Linked DNA regions of Nothobranchius furzeri. The protein of the gene in region 1 purifies or fractionates together with the protein of each later gene. This does not show direct contact. Links are inferred from orthologs where the notes say so. Each region holds a gene or a part of one and is shown in the gene's direction. Other genes may lie near its edges.

The links.
Region 2: the proteins of rho-related GTP-binding protein RhoC (region 1) and rap1gds1 purify together in Homo sapiens (co-immunoprecipitation; 3 studies listed by BioGRID and IntAct, counting the BioPlex papers as one, with this or other methods). This does not show direct contact. The link is inferred for Nothobranchius furzeri from reciprocal best matches to the Homo sapiens genes RHOC and RAP1GDS1.
Region 3: the proteins of rho-related GTP-binding protein RhoC (region 1) and disheveled-associated activator of morphogenesis 1 purify together in Homo sapiens (affinity purification with mass spectrometry; 3 studies listed by BioGRID and IntAct, counting the BioPlex papers as one, with this or other methods). This does not show direct contact. The link is inferred for Nothobranchius furzeri from reciprocal best matches to the Homo sapiens genes RHOC and DAAM1.

What each region holds. Positions count from the first base shown.
Region 1 is NC_091755.1:25,209,258-25,213,482, reverse strand, and holds the start of rho-related GTP-binding protein RhoC, read left to right. Parts: upstream 1-1,421; 5' UTR 1,422-1,546; intron 1,547-4,225. UniProt on the Homo sapiens protein: Regulates a signal transduction pathway linking plasma membrane receptors to the assembly of focal adhesions and actin stress fibers.
Region 2 is NC_091743.1:87,836,761-87,840,958, reverse strand, and holds the start of rap1gds1 (rap1 GTPase-GDP dissociation stimulator 1), read left to right. Parts: upstream 1-1,396; 5' UTR 1,397-1,613; coding exon 1,614-1,617; intron 1,618-4,198. UniProt on the Homo sapiens protein: Acts as a GEF (guanine nucleotide exchange factor) for the Rho family of small GTP-binding proteins (G proteins) that stimulates the dissociation of GDP to enable subsequent binding of GTP.
Region 3 is NC_091742.1:4,350,769-4,354,875, reverse strand, and holds the start of disheveled-associated activator of morphogenesis 1, read left to right. Parts: upstream 1-1,301; 5' UTR 1,302-1,454; intron 1,455-1,748; exon of another isoform or gene 1,749-1,897; intron 1,898-4,107. UniProt on the Homo sapiens protein: Binds to disheveled (Dvl) and Rho, and mediates Wnt-induced Dvl-Rho complex formation. May play a role as a scaffolding protein to recruit Rho-GDP and Rho-GEF, thereby enhancing Rho-GTP formation. Can direct nucleation and elongation of new actin filaments.

The sequences.
Region 1 (4,225 bases):
ATGTCATTACGCTTTAACCGTAAAGGGGCGGAATCAAAAAAATGTTGAACAATTTCAGCCAATAGCGTGTAAGTGCGTAAATCCAAAAGGCCCAAGACGTTGTGGTGCGTTCAGGTACAGTGGGACATTTTGAGCAGGCAAAGTTAAGAACATGTTACAAAATCTATTTGGACTAATTATGGATATTTTACAGCTTTTTAGCTTAGAATTTTTGACAGGAAGATATTTACTATATTCATAACTTTTTTATGAAACGTGTTAGGTTCAAGGACTGAAATAAACTGACAATTATATCAGTGACTATATAAATTGAATCTTGGATCATTTAACATTAGTAGGGCTTCTTCAAAGAAAAATAAAGGAGTAGAATGCTTTTGTTTGGCTTCTGATCAAGTCCTTCAAAAACACCCACGTCACCCTGGTTGTCTTCCAGCTTCACTGGCTGCCGGCCATGGACGTAATTGGGGGGGGGGGGGGGGGGGGGGGGACAAGGGGGACATGCCCCCCCCCCCTTTTACAAAGTCAAGTTTTGACCCCTGCACTTTTTACCATCCAAAAACAATATTACGCTACATTAAATTGACACTGGTTGAGCTCTAGGACCAAGCGGAAAACAACCGTTTGTGTTGAAGCCTGTTTCCCATTTTAGCATACTGTAAAGATACCCCCACCCCCACTTCTAAAGTGAAAATTAGGTCCATGCTGCCGGCTAAATACGGGGTTCATTTGAAGATCCTGGTTTTGGTTTTCAGGGCCTTGTGGACAAGTGCCAGCATACACTAATAATCTTCACTGCCTCAGCAAGTCTCTGAGATCCAGTGAATAAAGCCTACTGGTTGTGCAGTGCACCAGGCTAAAAATCAAAGGAGACAGATCCTTTCCTGTTTTGGCCTCCAAACTCTGGGACTCTCTGCCCCTGAACCTGAGATCAATGGACTCAGACGTGGTCTCCTATATAAAGCAGCTGTAAACTCATCTGTTAAAGCTGGCTTTTGTGTGAACTTCTATTCATCCTCTTCTTCCTCAATAACTACTTTTCATAGTGTTAATTTATGTATATTTTGGGCCTCACTTGTTGTCTTTGTTTAGTTTAAATAAAAAAAATTCTGTGATCTTTTGTTCAAATTTTATTTTGTTTTCATAGTTAGTTTTTAAAGAATAATTTATTTTTTATTGTGCTTGTGAAGCACCTTGTTTTGATCTTGAAAGGCACTATAAAATGTCTCTATCTTTTCTTCGTCTTCTTTTTGTTCTTCTTCTGCTGCGTGGTATTGCACATATTGTCACCCTAAAAATCTAAATTTCTCCAAATTTGATAAAATTTTCACACTTTAAGAAACAATAAATTAAATCATCATTATTATTTTTCTTGACTTCGTTTAAAATCAAAGGTCGATTGTCAACTTTCCGAGTCTCATTAAAAGCACCACGATGGGAGGGTCTTGACTGCTCCTCTAGTCACTCGATTAGCTCAGAGGCTTGGAGGACAAAACTCGGACAAAAACACGGAGCTCGTCGATTAAACGAGAGCAGTCTTTTGACAGAGGTAAAATCACATATTTTATTCTGTAATTTTTGCGTAACCGAAGAGTTTACTGAGTTATTAACTACCGTCTGTGGACTTATGGGAAAGTATAAAGCCGCGCTGCTTAATGAGCCGAAATACCAGTAACTCAGCGAGTTGAAACCTGTTACTCTGGTAAAAGTTTCCTGTTGATTTTCGGAGTGTTATCGACCAAAAACCCGAAAAGGGCCTTGTAATCTGTGGACACACCTGTTTGTTCTCCTCAGCAGTGTCCTAGTGTAGACATAGACCACCTCGGTATTCCTTATAGTTTCTTCTTCATTGCGTAATTTAATCATGTTGAGTTCTTTGATCAAAGAAACGGGGCCAATGTTTTCTCGTTAAAAAACCACATATAACTTTATTTTCGGTTTCTGATTTAAAACCTGCTTGAATGGTGAGCGTGTGATTGGTTGTATCGGGTTTTCCTCCCTCAACAGGAATTTCCTGGACAGTTAAATAATCGAAATATCTTCATTTTGGCCACTCAGTGGTCAAAGTCTGCCCTCGCCTGTTCCTGATAACTAATATAACATTGGTCTGACCCGAGAAAATTCCTTTCTCTGAGCCACCACACCCTTGTGCTGCTGAGTTCTTGTAGCGCAGACCCTCAATTCTCTTGCAGGCTTGGTCCCCACAGAGCAAAAGTACACCCCAGCTTTTAGTCAGAACCAGAGGAGCTGCTTCACCTGGAACACTCCCTAAACACGCAAAGGGGTGGTATTCGACAGCATATAAAAGCTTGGAAATATTAGTTCACATCATGCTTCAGACTTGTCTTTCACATGAAAACATAATACCTTTGCTCTGTACAGACACAGCAGGAAGTGGACAGGAAGCGCCACTCATTCTCCAAAAGAGACCCACCCCTTCCTAAACAGCCATTTTACCTTAGAGGTTATTTTTCCTTATCCACATAGAAAACCAGCCCTTATGCACATTAAAATGTAAAGATTTTCCATGTTGCCTTTAATAGATTACTGGAACCTGTAGTTTTGGACAACATGTAGCTAATTGGTAGTCTAGTGAACTAGACCAAATTCTTGCTTTGCAAAGTTTGGTCTAGGAATGCTCCATTGGAACCTCCACAGCCCCTAGCAGCATTTTGGCTGGCCATTCACAGCTCTGTATTGACCCTTTGCACGACGTCACGTTGGTCCACCATGCTGGACGGCAAAAGCATGTAAACAGTGAGCGACACGAGTACTAACCAAGGGGAAAAGTAGAGCCTGAAATTGTTTTTGCGATCAAAACAAAAACAAAACTCCAGCATTCCTTCAACTAGTTCATGCCCAGTTCAGTTATCAGAAGTAGCACATCTAGCGGGGGCTCATAGAGAGCGGTATGTTAACTAGCTTCCCAGCGTTAGCTTACGTTCTCTCTGCAGCTGTTCATCGATGTAAACATGTTGCTGACTTTGCCTAAATTCACCCCGCTGGATTTATAACATTATGTAATAAACAGCGTTTCACTTTACACCAAAGCTGATTTTTAAAAAGTCCGGATCCCTACCAGTTTCTGTTGTTGGTGGTGTTACCAGGTTCAGCTGCTGCTCTCACACCGGAATGAGAAGATCTCTGAACGGTGATGCTCATATAAATAAATAACCTAATTTTAACGCATGTAATCATACATCGGACCTTTAATATTGTTAATAATTATCTCACCTTACACTACAGTGGGCAGCGCACATCCTCAGTGGTGAAATACCCATCCATCAGGATTATCAATAACTAGTATAAACACATCACATTTATCCCTGTCCCTGTCTTCCTCGTGAAATAAATGAATGTTTATCTTACCTGGTAAAAACATGTTCGTTGCAAATCTGAGGGCTGCTAGTCCACTTGATTGATCGCTGCAGTTCATCTCCATCCTCGGTCTCCATCAAAGTTATTAAAAAAACAAAACGAGTTGAGTTGACATCCTTGTCTGTTAGTGCAGCCAACCACGCAGCAAGCTAAAACCATTTTACTGTCAAATCAACTAAATAAAAGCGATAAAATGCTACAAACTGGCTTGTTTTGACTAGCTTCACTGGAGTTTCAACGGGTGCAAACGATCTTTTTGCTGTCCATCATGGCGAAGGGGGCGGTCACATGAGCGGCCTGACGTCACATGCAAAGGGTCAATAGGGAGCCTAAGTCTACTTCCGCACCATAGGTCTCCGGAAGAATGAAAAAAATGAATGCAAGTCAATGGGGCTAAAAACACTATTTTCTAATCTGCTTTGCCTTACGCCCTGGATCACACATGTTGTACTGCAATTTAAATGAAAATTAATGATGGGTGTTTTGACCATGCCAGTCAAGTACTTTTATTAGCTTGTAAAAGTTCGTAATTAGCATGACTACAAACTAGAAATCGGCACGTCGCATATGTGACGTCATCACATAATCTCCTCTCCCCTAACGCAGCTGCTACTTACCAAATGACCAGATTTATGGTGGTTCTTTCCTCCTGTGGGAAGTTTGCTGAGGTTACAGCCCTTTTCCCTCAGTTTTCTCCGTGTCTGGTGTGATGATGTCACTTTCGTGAAGCGCATTTGTAGTCCTGGACTTATTTTCGCCCTGTTTGAAAATAAGCGCGTTCTTGGTATCAAAATGTGTCTTTGAAGTTCACAGACATATGTGAAATCCATGGCACAAAACTAGCAAAATT
Region 2 (4,198 bases), on another chromosome or scaffold:
GGCCACAGGAAGTCCAGCTGCTGCAGAAAATGCTAATTAATTCTAACCTGCCCGCAGCTCAACACGGTGGTCTGAGACGGACAGAGATGGAGATGCGTTCGGATCCAGACGCGAGGGTTTCAGAGCAAAAGCTTTCTACATACCGAGCAGCACCGACACAACCGTGGCGATCAGAAGCCAATTCTTCCTCAGCAAGCGCTTGAAATTCACGCCTCGTCGCTCCTTGTTGCTCATCGCGTCAGCGGTGTTGCGTTTATTCCTCAAAAATTAAACGAAGAAATGCGCTGAATCCACAACGATTCCCAAAGAGAGACACAAGCGCCTCCAGCGAACTGACGAGTCAGAGGAGGAGGAGGAGAAGGATGGAGGAGAGGAGCTCCGCGCTGCTGCAGGAGTAGCGGTCCTCTTATGGTGGGGAGGGGAGGGGGGGAGCCCCCCCCCGAGCCCCCCCTTCCTGCATGGAGGCTCAGGCACCTGTACAGAGAATAAAAACAGCAAAAACATGCTCTGCGGGTTGTCAGAGCGTTAAAGTTAAAAAGAAGTCCATCAGGACGAAAGAAAAATGTGATCTAACATTTGAAAAGAACAAACTCAGCATTTAAGCAGGAAGGCTCTGATGAACACTTCATCGTTTCTTTCAGCTGTAGAATGCTTTTATCTAATGTTGACTGAAGGTTCACCTGCACGCTGAGGAGGAAACCGACGCACTTATCCAGTCTTTGGAAGTTTTCCAGATGAAATAAGTGGATTTAATCGGATTGTTCTTTTCTGTGTTCATGGCTCCAACGCTTCTGACTCCATCACCAGTGGCTGGGATGCAGCAGCCTCGATACCATAACACAACATCCTGATTTTGTAGATTTACATTTATTCAGCAGACACTCTTTACAGAAACCTGTTCTGATTTGTTTTATTTTGATAAGTCATTACTGGATGACGTATGATCCTATCACATTTATGCATGTTTTTCCAACAACACTCACATCGTTTTTATAAAGTGTGACATTTCTTTTTTTCCCACTCTTTATGTGACAAATATGACATTACAATGAACTCTAGATTTTATTTATTTAAATGACAAATGGGTTAACCAGCATCCGCCCCTGAAACAAACTTATTTTATATTAATTGTAAAGGAATTTGAACCCTTTTGGACATCTTTCCTCAATTCAATTCAATTCAAAGATACTTTATTAATCCCAGAGGGAAGTTAGAGAACACTGCCATCCACTGGTTGTGCGCGTCAACAACCGCACATTTTGGCTGCTTTATTTTGAAAGTGTTGACCGGATGTTTTCATCTCCGTCCGGTCTCCTAGCTTGATTCTGCCATGTTTGACTGAACCAGTTTTTCGGGAACTGCCAGCCAGACCACCACTGACTGTCAGCACGGACATGAGAGAGAGTCCGGTGTGTTAGCCTGGTGGTTCCCGCTGTTTCAGAACCGTACTGTCCGACCGAACCGGCCGCTTGCTGCAGCTGCTCGATAGCTAGCTCCCACAACCCGCTAACTTCCCCCGGAGACCAGACGAGTGGGGCCTCCGGCTGGTGCGACGCGTTTCACGGAGATACCCAGACACCCCGGTTTGTTTTCCGGAGTAACACCCTGCTGAAATGGGTGAGTAGTTAACCGGCTATCCGGTTCATTCAGAGGCGAGCTTTTTCATTAGATTTACCAAAAGCATGAAGTGTAAAACCATCAGATGATGCAGTGTCTGGTGGTTTGTTGAAGTTGATTGACACAATCGTGCCAGTAAAGCCGTTCCTGACAGTTCCCGTTACTCATTTCCGTTTTCATTCATTGTAACGTGAGTTTTTAAAGGGCCGAGTGTGACCACATCGTGGATGTATGCGCGCGCGCGCCCATCCCTCGGGTGGGGTAGCCTGCCCGACTCCACGCACGGTTCTCCTCCTCGGCTCTCCTGGAGGCTGGCTCTTCGCGAGTGGGCCCCCCTGGTGCGAAGGGTCTGGGGTGGAGAAGATGCTGCTGCAGATGCAGTGAAATGGCAGCGAGCTGCTGCTGATGGTGAAGATGGCACTCCATCTGCACAGCTGTTATGCAATAGGATCAGACAGGCCACCTTCTGGTGAAACCAGCAGATCACTTGAGCCCAGGCTGAGACATTCCTGGACAGTCATCCTGACCAGGTTTTATTAATTCACACTACAGTGTGTGTGAGTTCTGTGTTAGATCTGGCCCTGATGCTAGCAGTCTCACAGGAAAGTGCCGATGGCCACAAGGCTGGAGCCGACATCTGTCTGCAATCCTTAGGGTGTTTAATGGTTACCCTGCTTTCCCACTGAATATTTACATGTTAGTGGTAACATGTTGATCAGGGATGTGTATTTTTTGAAATTCTGGCGATACGATACATATCACGATACAGGGGAGACAATACGATATATCACGATATACAGTAATCCCTCGCTACTTCGCGGTTCATTCATCGCGGATTCGCTGCTTCGCGGATTTTTTGTTTGGAGCATTTTTCAGGGGGAATTCGCCGTATTTTTCACTGATTCGCGGTATTTTTCTATGCGAAATATCAAGAAATTCTTGTTTTTTTCCATCAATTTCATCATAAAATGCACTTTTTGTAATAAAACTAAAAAAAACCAAGTAAAAAAATTTTTTTCTTGAGTTTTACCCACAAAAAAAGAATGTGATCATACGATAATTCAATAGGGAGCGTGGTTTCACAGACGCGGAAGTGATAGCGTCGGTGAAACGCCGGCTGATCTAGGAAACCCCCGAGCGTTCGAGCGTCAACGAAGTGACACGGAAATGCCGGGCTTTCCAGAAGTAAGCAAGATAACTTACTATGAGCTGATAGTTCATGGGATGGATCGGTAGGTTGGAAACTCTGATCATGAATCTGAAGAAACGATGACTGAGTGGTGAGCTGGAAAGGCGACTTCCGTTTATAGCCGCGGTTTGTGACGTAGGTGCGACGTGGAGGGAATCCCCGCGAGGGGCATGCTGGGAGTCCCTACTTCGCGGATTTTCACCTATCGCGGCCAGGTCTGGAACGCATCTACCGCGATAAACGAGGGATTACTGTATTGCTATACATTCAGTCAGACGTTACAAGCAATTTTTTTCACTGAATTTATTGTAAGAATGTTCAATAACAGTCCAAACTGATACGTAACATGTTTAACATGAGGTATCTGAACCATGATGGAGGGTTTTACATTTCAATGGTGGAAACAAAACCCGTTGCACACTGCTGCCAACTAGCGGGTGGTGATTGAATTGCACAAAACGAAAAGAAAATACACGAATGTTTGCATGTAAATTCTTTCAAGAATTAAATACACGGCTTTTGCATATCGATTTAACATTGCTGGAAAAAAAATCACGATATATTGCCATATCGATATTTTCTTACATCCCTAATGGTGATTCTAACATTCAGACTGTGTTCTGGCCATAAACTGACTTCTAAGGGGTCATATTATACAAAAGTCACCTTTTGCATTCATTTGGAAAATTCAGATGTTTAAAAGTGGGCTCATGTGAATAGTTAGCATCGTACTTGTTTGTGTTACTTTAGATTCTAGAAACAAGAGATTTGTTCTGATGTCTGTCTGTCGAGCTAAGAGTTAATCCTAAACAGGCCAGTGTTGTGGTTATTAGCCAACAAATAATTTGTAAGCTTTACTTACTCTTTGGATTCATCAATAAAATTCGTAAATATGGAAATATTTACTGATTTATTACGTAATTAGGATATCCGTTGATATGCCTAGGGGCACAACCCCTTTTTATAGGGGAAAAATGAATCCAAGCCTCTATCAATCTGTCTAAAGTTCGTAAAATTCTTTTAACGAGCAGCGGTCATATTCTATCCAACACAGACAAATTAACTTGAGACAACTTAATTGGCAATAACATTTATTGACTAATATAATCACCTTAGCTCCTTCAAAGCGCTAGCCAATCAATATCAACCAACCGATTTTATCAAACAAACAACAGGCAATGAAACCATGGAATGATGATGTGACGTAACAATCTAATCAGACCGGTGGGGTGAGATGGTTATGTGATCAGGCAATGGTGAGGCTGCTTGATGATGTAAGCAGGCAGAGATAGGCTGATTACCAAACTGGAGGGAGTTTTGAAAACAAAATGGCGGATCCTTCGTTTGGCTGACCAAAGGATCAAACTGTGTGTGTGTGTGTGGAATTTAGCT
Region 3 (4,107 bases), on another chromosome or scaffold:
CAGTATTGGAGACGTTATATATATATACATACATACATACATATATACATATATATATATATATATATATATATATATATATATATATATATATATATATATATATATATATATATATATATATATATATATATATAAGTAGTTTTCTCTTTTAAAATGGAAATCTAGAAAATTTATCCACCAGATGATTGTATTTTATTTGTTCTGTTCAGCAGATAACATTTTTTTAATTAACTTAAGAATCTGAAATTAACGTTTTTATTTTTAATTTAAATCTGGCTTCTTTGTCATCTAATGTTGCATTAAGTGACCAGATTTACTGATATATCTCAGGACCAGCAGTAGTGCTGCAGAATCATTTGATCTGATTCTGGTATAGTTTTAAAATAACTTCACTCCTTTGCTTTTTACTAAGAAACTACATTGGTAACTGCTTTAAAAGATGCATCAGTTAGCATTAATCCACTTTTAGTTTTACATTGCTGACATGCTAATAAAATCTACTCTAAAGAATTCATTTTTATTTCCAAAACACAAAATGCCTTCTGCTAATATTGTTTTTTAAACACAATAGGTTTTAGATTAATCACCAGTATTGCTGTATAGTTTGCAAGTATTTCTGGATCTGAGCGACATCGCAGGATTTCTCAGACCCCTGGATCGAGTGCAAAGAGGTGGGTTACACCCCTGTAGAAACAGTTGATACCTTAAAGTTGTGATTTTTTTTCTAAATGTTGCAAACCAACCTATTGGTTTTAATGACCTATGAAGTTTCTGAATACTGTCAGATAAAAGCTGTTCTGAAGTCACTTGTACTTTTTTGTGCCACTAGATGGCAGTAAATCGTTATTTGTGTTATTGACTACAAATTAATGCACGAGTTTCTCGTTTTAAATTATGTTTTACATCTGCAGTAGTTAAACAAATTTGTCATTAACAAGAGGGAAACTTAGTGAATAGTGCAACGGATCACTTAAAATGCTGCTGGTTTTTTAATTTTTTTTACATGTATTTGATTTGTTTTTAGCCGGAAAATATTAATACACGTTTGTAAAATCTAATATTATTTAATCAGTATTTTTTACTGTATATTTACTTAAACTAAAATATTTGAGCTTTATTATCACTTTTAGGAACCTTGAAAACTCGTATTTTAATTTTATTTGTCAAATTTGTTATTAGTTGTATGTTGCTTCATTTAAATATCCACACCAACAAAGCTTTTAAAGTCATTTAAAGTTACGTTTCTCATATTCTTGTTCAGTACTACAATATCCACAAAGCACTGAGATAAACACACAAGAGCGCATGCGCATTAGCAGCCGGAGTAAACTGATGACCTCACGCGCAACCCGGACCAGCCAGTCTGTTAAATCGACTGAACTGAGCTGTCGGTGCTCTTACCTGATGAACTTGCGGACACGGTTAACAAGAAAAATGTTCACCGTGAAGAGGTGAGATTTTAACTGTTTCGTTGAAACATTATCTCCTAACACCGGTACTGTAACAAAACTCCCGAGAGTTGCCTGACCGGGCCGTCTGCTTGGGGTGTTGTTAGTGACCTCCGTACCGGTGTGGCTACAGACAGTAACGTTTGAGGCGAGTTTATTAATGCGGTTATTGTCACAATTTCTTAGTTTACTCGCGTTTTATTGCTAATTTCAATCGTTCATGGTTATCATTGACTAAAACCTGTTTCAGACAGACATCCAGGGTCAATAACCGGATTTGCATGTATTTTGTTTTAGTCGTCCCTTTCTGTCTGGGAGGTAAGCTGACCTATCCATGCTTTCTGACAAGACAATGAGGCTGGAAAGTGGTGAGACCTTCAGGGTCTCCAGGGCGAACTGAAACGTGGTCCGATCCCTACTTCCAATAGTTTTGGATGAGTCATTGGGTAAGGATTATTTGACATAATTACGACATAAATTGTTCAAATAGTTATTTTCAAGAATAGGGTTGCAGACCCATCATATTTCATATAGAATTCTTAAGTAAGCATTTATGGTCCAGATGGGGATTTGAAATTAAAAATAAATAAATAAACTATATTCACTTTATGCAAGACTGCAATGTTAAAAAAATATTTAAAAATTAATCAATTTATTTCTTTAGGGAGTGTGCAGAAATGAACTCCCATTATAATCAGTGAGTAGGTTGGTCTGTCGTGGGGAAGAGGGAGCTGAGCCAGAAAGCCAGGCTCTCGATTTACCGGTCGATCTACGTCCCAATCCTCACCTATGGTCATGAGCTTTGGGTAATGACCGAAAGAACGAGATCGCGGATACAAGCGGCTGAAATGAGTTTCCTCCGTAGGGTGGCCGGGCTCAGCCTTAGAGATAGGGTGAGGAGCTCGGACATTCGGGAGGGACTCGGAGTAGAACCGCTGCTCCTCCGGATCGAAAGGAGCCAGTTGAGGTGGTTTGGGCATCTGGTCAGGATGCCTCCTGGACGCCTCCCCGGGGAGGTGTTTCGGGCATGTCCTGCCGGCAGAAGGCCCCCGGGTCGACCCAGGACACGTTGGAGAGGTTACATCTCCAATCTGGTCCGGGAACGCCTTGGGGTCCTGCCGGAGGAGCTGGTGGACAAGGCCGGGGAGAGGATGGCCTGGAGCTCCCTAGTTGGGATGCTGCCCCCGCGACCCGGACCCGGATAAGCGGAGGAAGACGAGACGAGACGAGGTTGGTGCATAAGTTAAAAAAAAGTGTGTTTTATTCATGACATTTTTGGGATCATATTTTCCCTTTAGTTATTACTTTTTGTTTGACCTGACACTTTATTTTTCTCATTAAAAGTCTAAACTTTTTCATCAATTTATTTATTTTTTTACTTTTTTGTAGCTTAAAGCAGAAATCTGGAGTCTTTTTCCTCAGAGGGCACCATCTAGAGGCAGACATTTTAAATTGTACCTTAAGCCCCTCTCAATACATCTTTGTTTACGGCTAGGCCTGGGACGATAACAAATCTTGCCGGACGATTTATTGTCCAACAAATTACTGACGATCAACGATATTATTGTCGACATTATCGAGACCAAAATAACCACTTATATAATGTTAATATATCATAATAATGTAAATACATCCTTTAAAATGCAACAATTAAACTTATATTCAACATTGGAATGTCCAGATCCAGAACTTCTAAATAAATAAACAAAACAAACAAAAAAGGACTCTCACTCTCTGTTAGAAAATGTTGCACCAAAAGCAATGAAATAGACCCTGTCTCTCCAAAACAATAAATACAATGGCCTATCCAGTGTCACAACCAAAACTGCACTTCAATAATGACATAAATAAAAATAAGGTTGTACATTTCTCAATATATTGAAGCTGTAAAAATGATTGAGTTCATTTTCATCCATCGTACGATGAATTGGTTTATTGATTATTGTCCTAGCCCAAATTACAGCTGAAAGCAGCACCTGTTTGTAAATGTACACCTCTAGCAGGCCTACAGAGCTAAAGCACATTGTTTTACAATTAATATTCTCATGTGAATGGCTTCCTCGGCCATAAGAATTGTTGCTAACCGTGCATCAGTCTAGGTCAAATGTTCACGCCCGCTCTGTGGTTGACATCAGTACATAAGCAGATGTGTAATGCTATTGCCTAATACTGAGCAGCGATCAAGTCAAATTGCATGGGGCTTCACAGGACAGGGCATCAAGCTTAGCAAAAAAAATCAGTTGACTACATTATATCACAGTACAGGGTAAAACTGTTACTTTTAGGGATTTTATAACAAAACATACATAATTCCTGAAAGGTGGAAAACTCTGGATTGCTACTTTAATTCATGCTGACACAATATTACTCTCTGTCAAGTAAATCAAGTCATTTTTAAGGAATGACGCAGTTGCAGGTTGCTCAGAGTCCACAGTTAAGATTATTGATAATCTTAAACCTAGTTGGACACTTATCAGCATAGACTTGCATTCCATAGACTTAAAATGCTCTACGTGGCTGAGGGGCCTGTGTGTGCTTGTAATGGGCTGCTGTCTTGAACGACAGCTTACTGCTGTGGTCTGATCTGCAGACGCGTTTTCACTGTAAACACGTGAGAAACCAGACATGATGCAGTTGTTTTGTCAACAGCAGTACT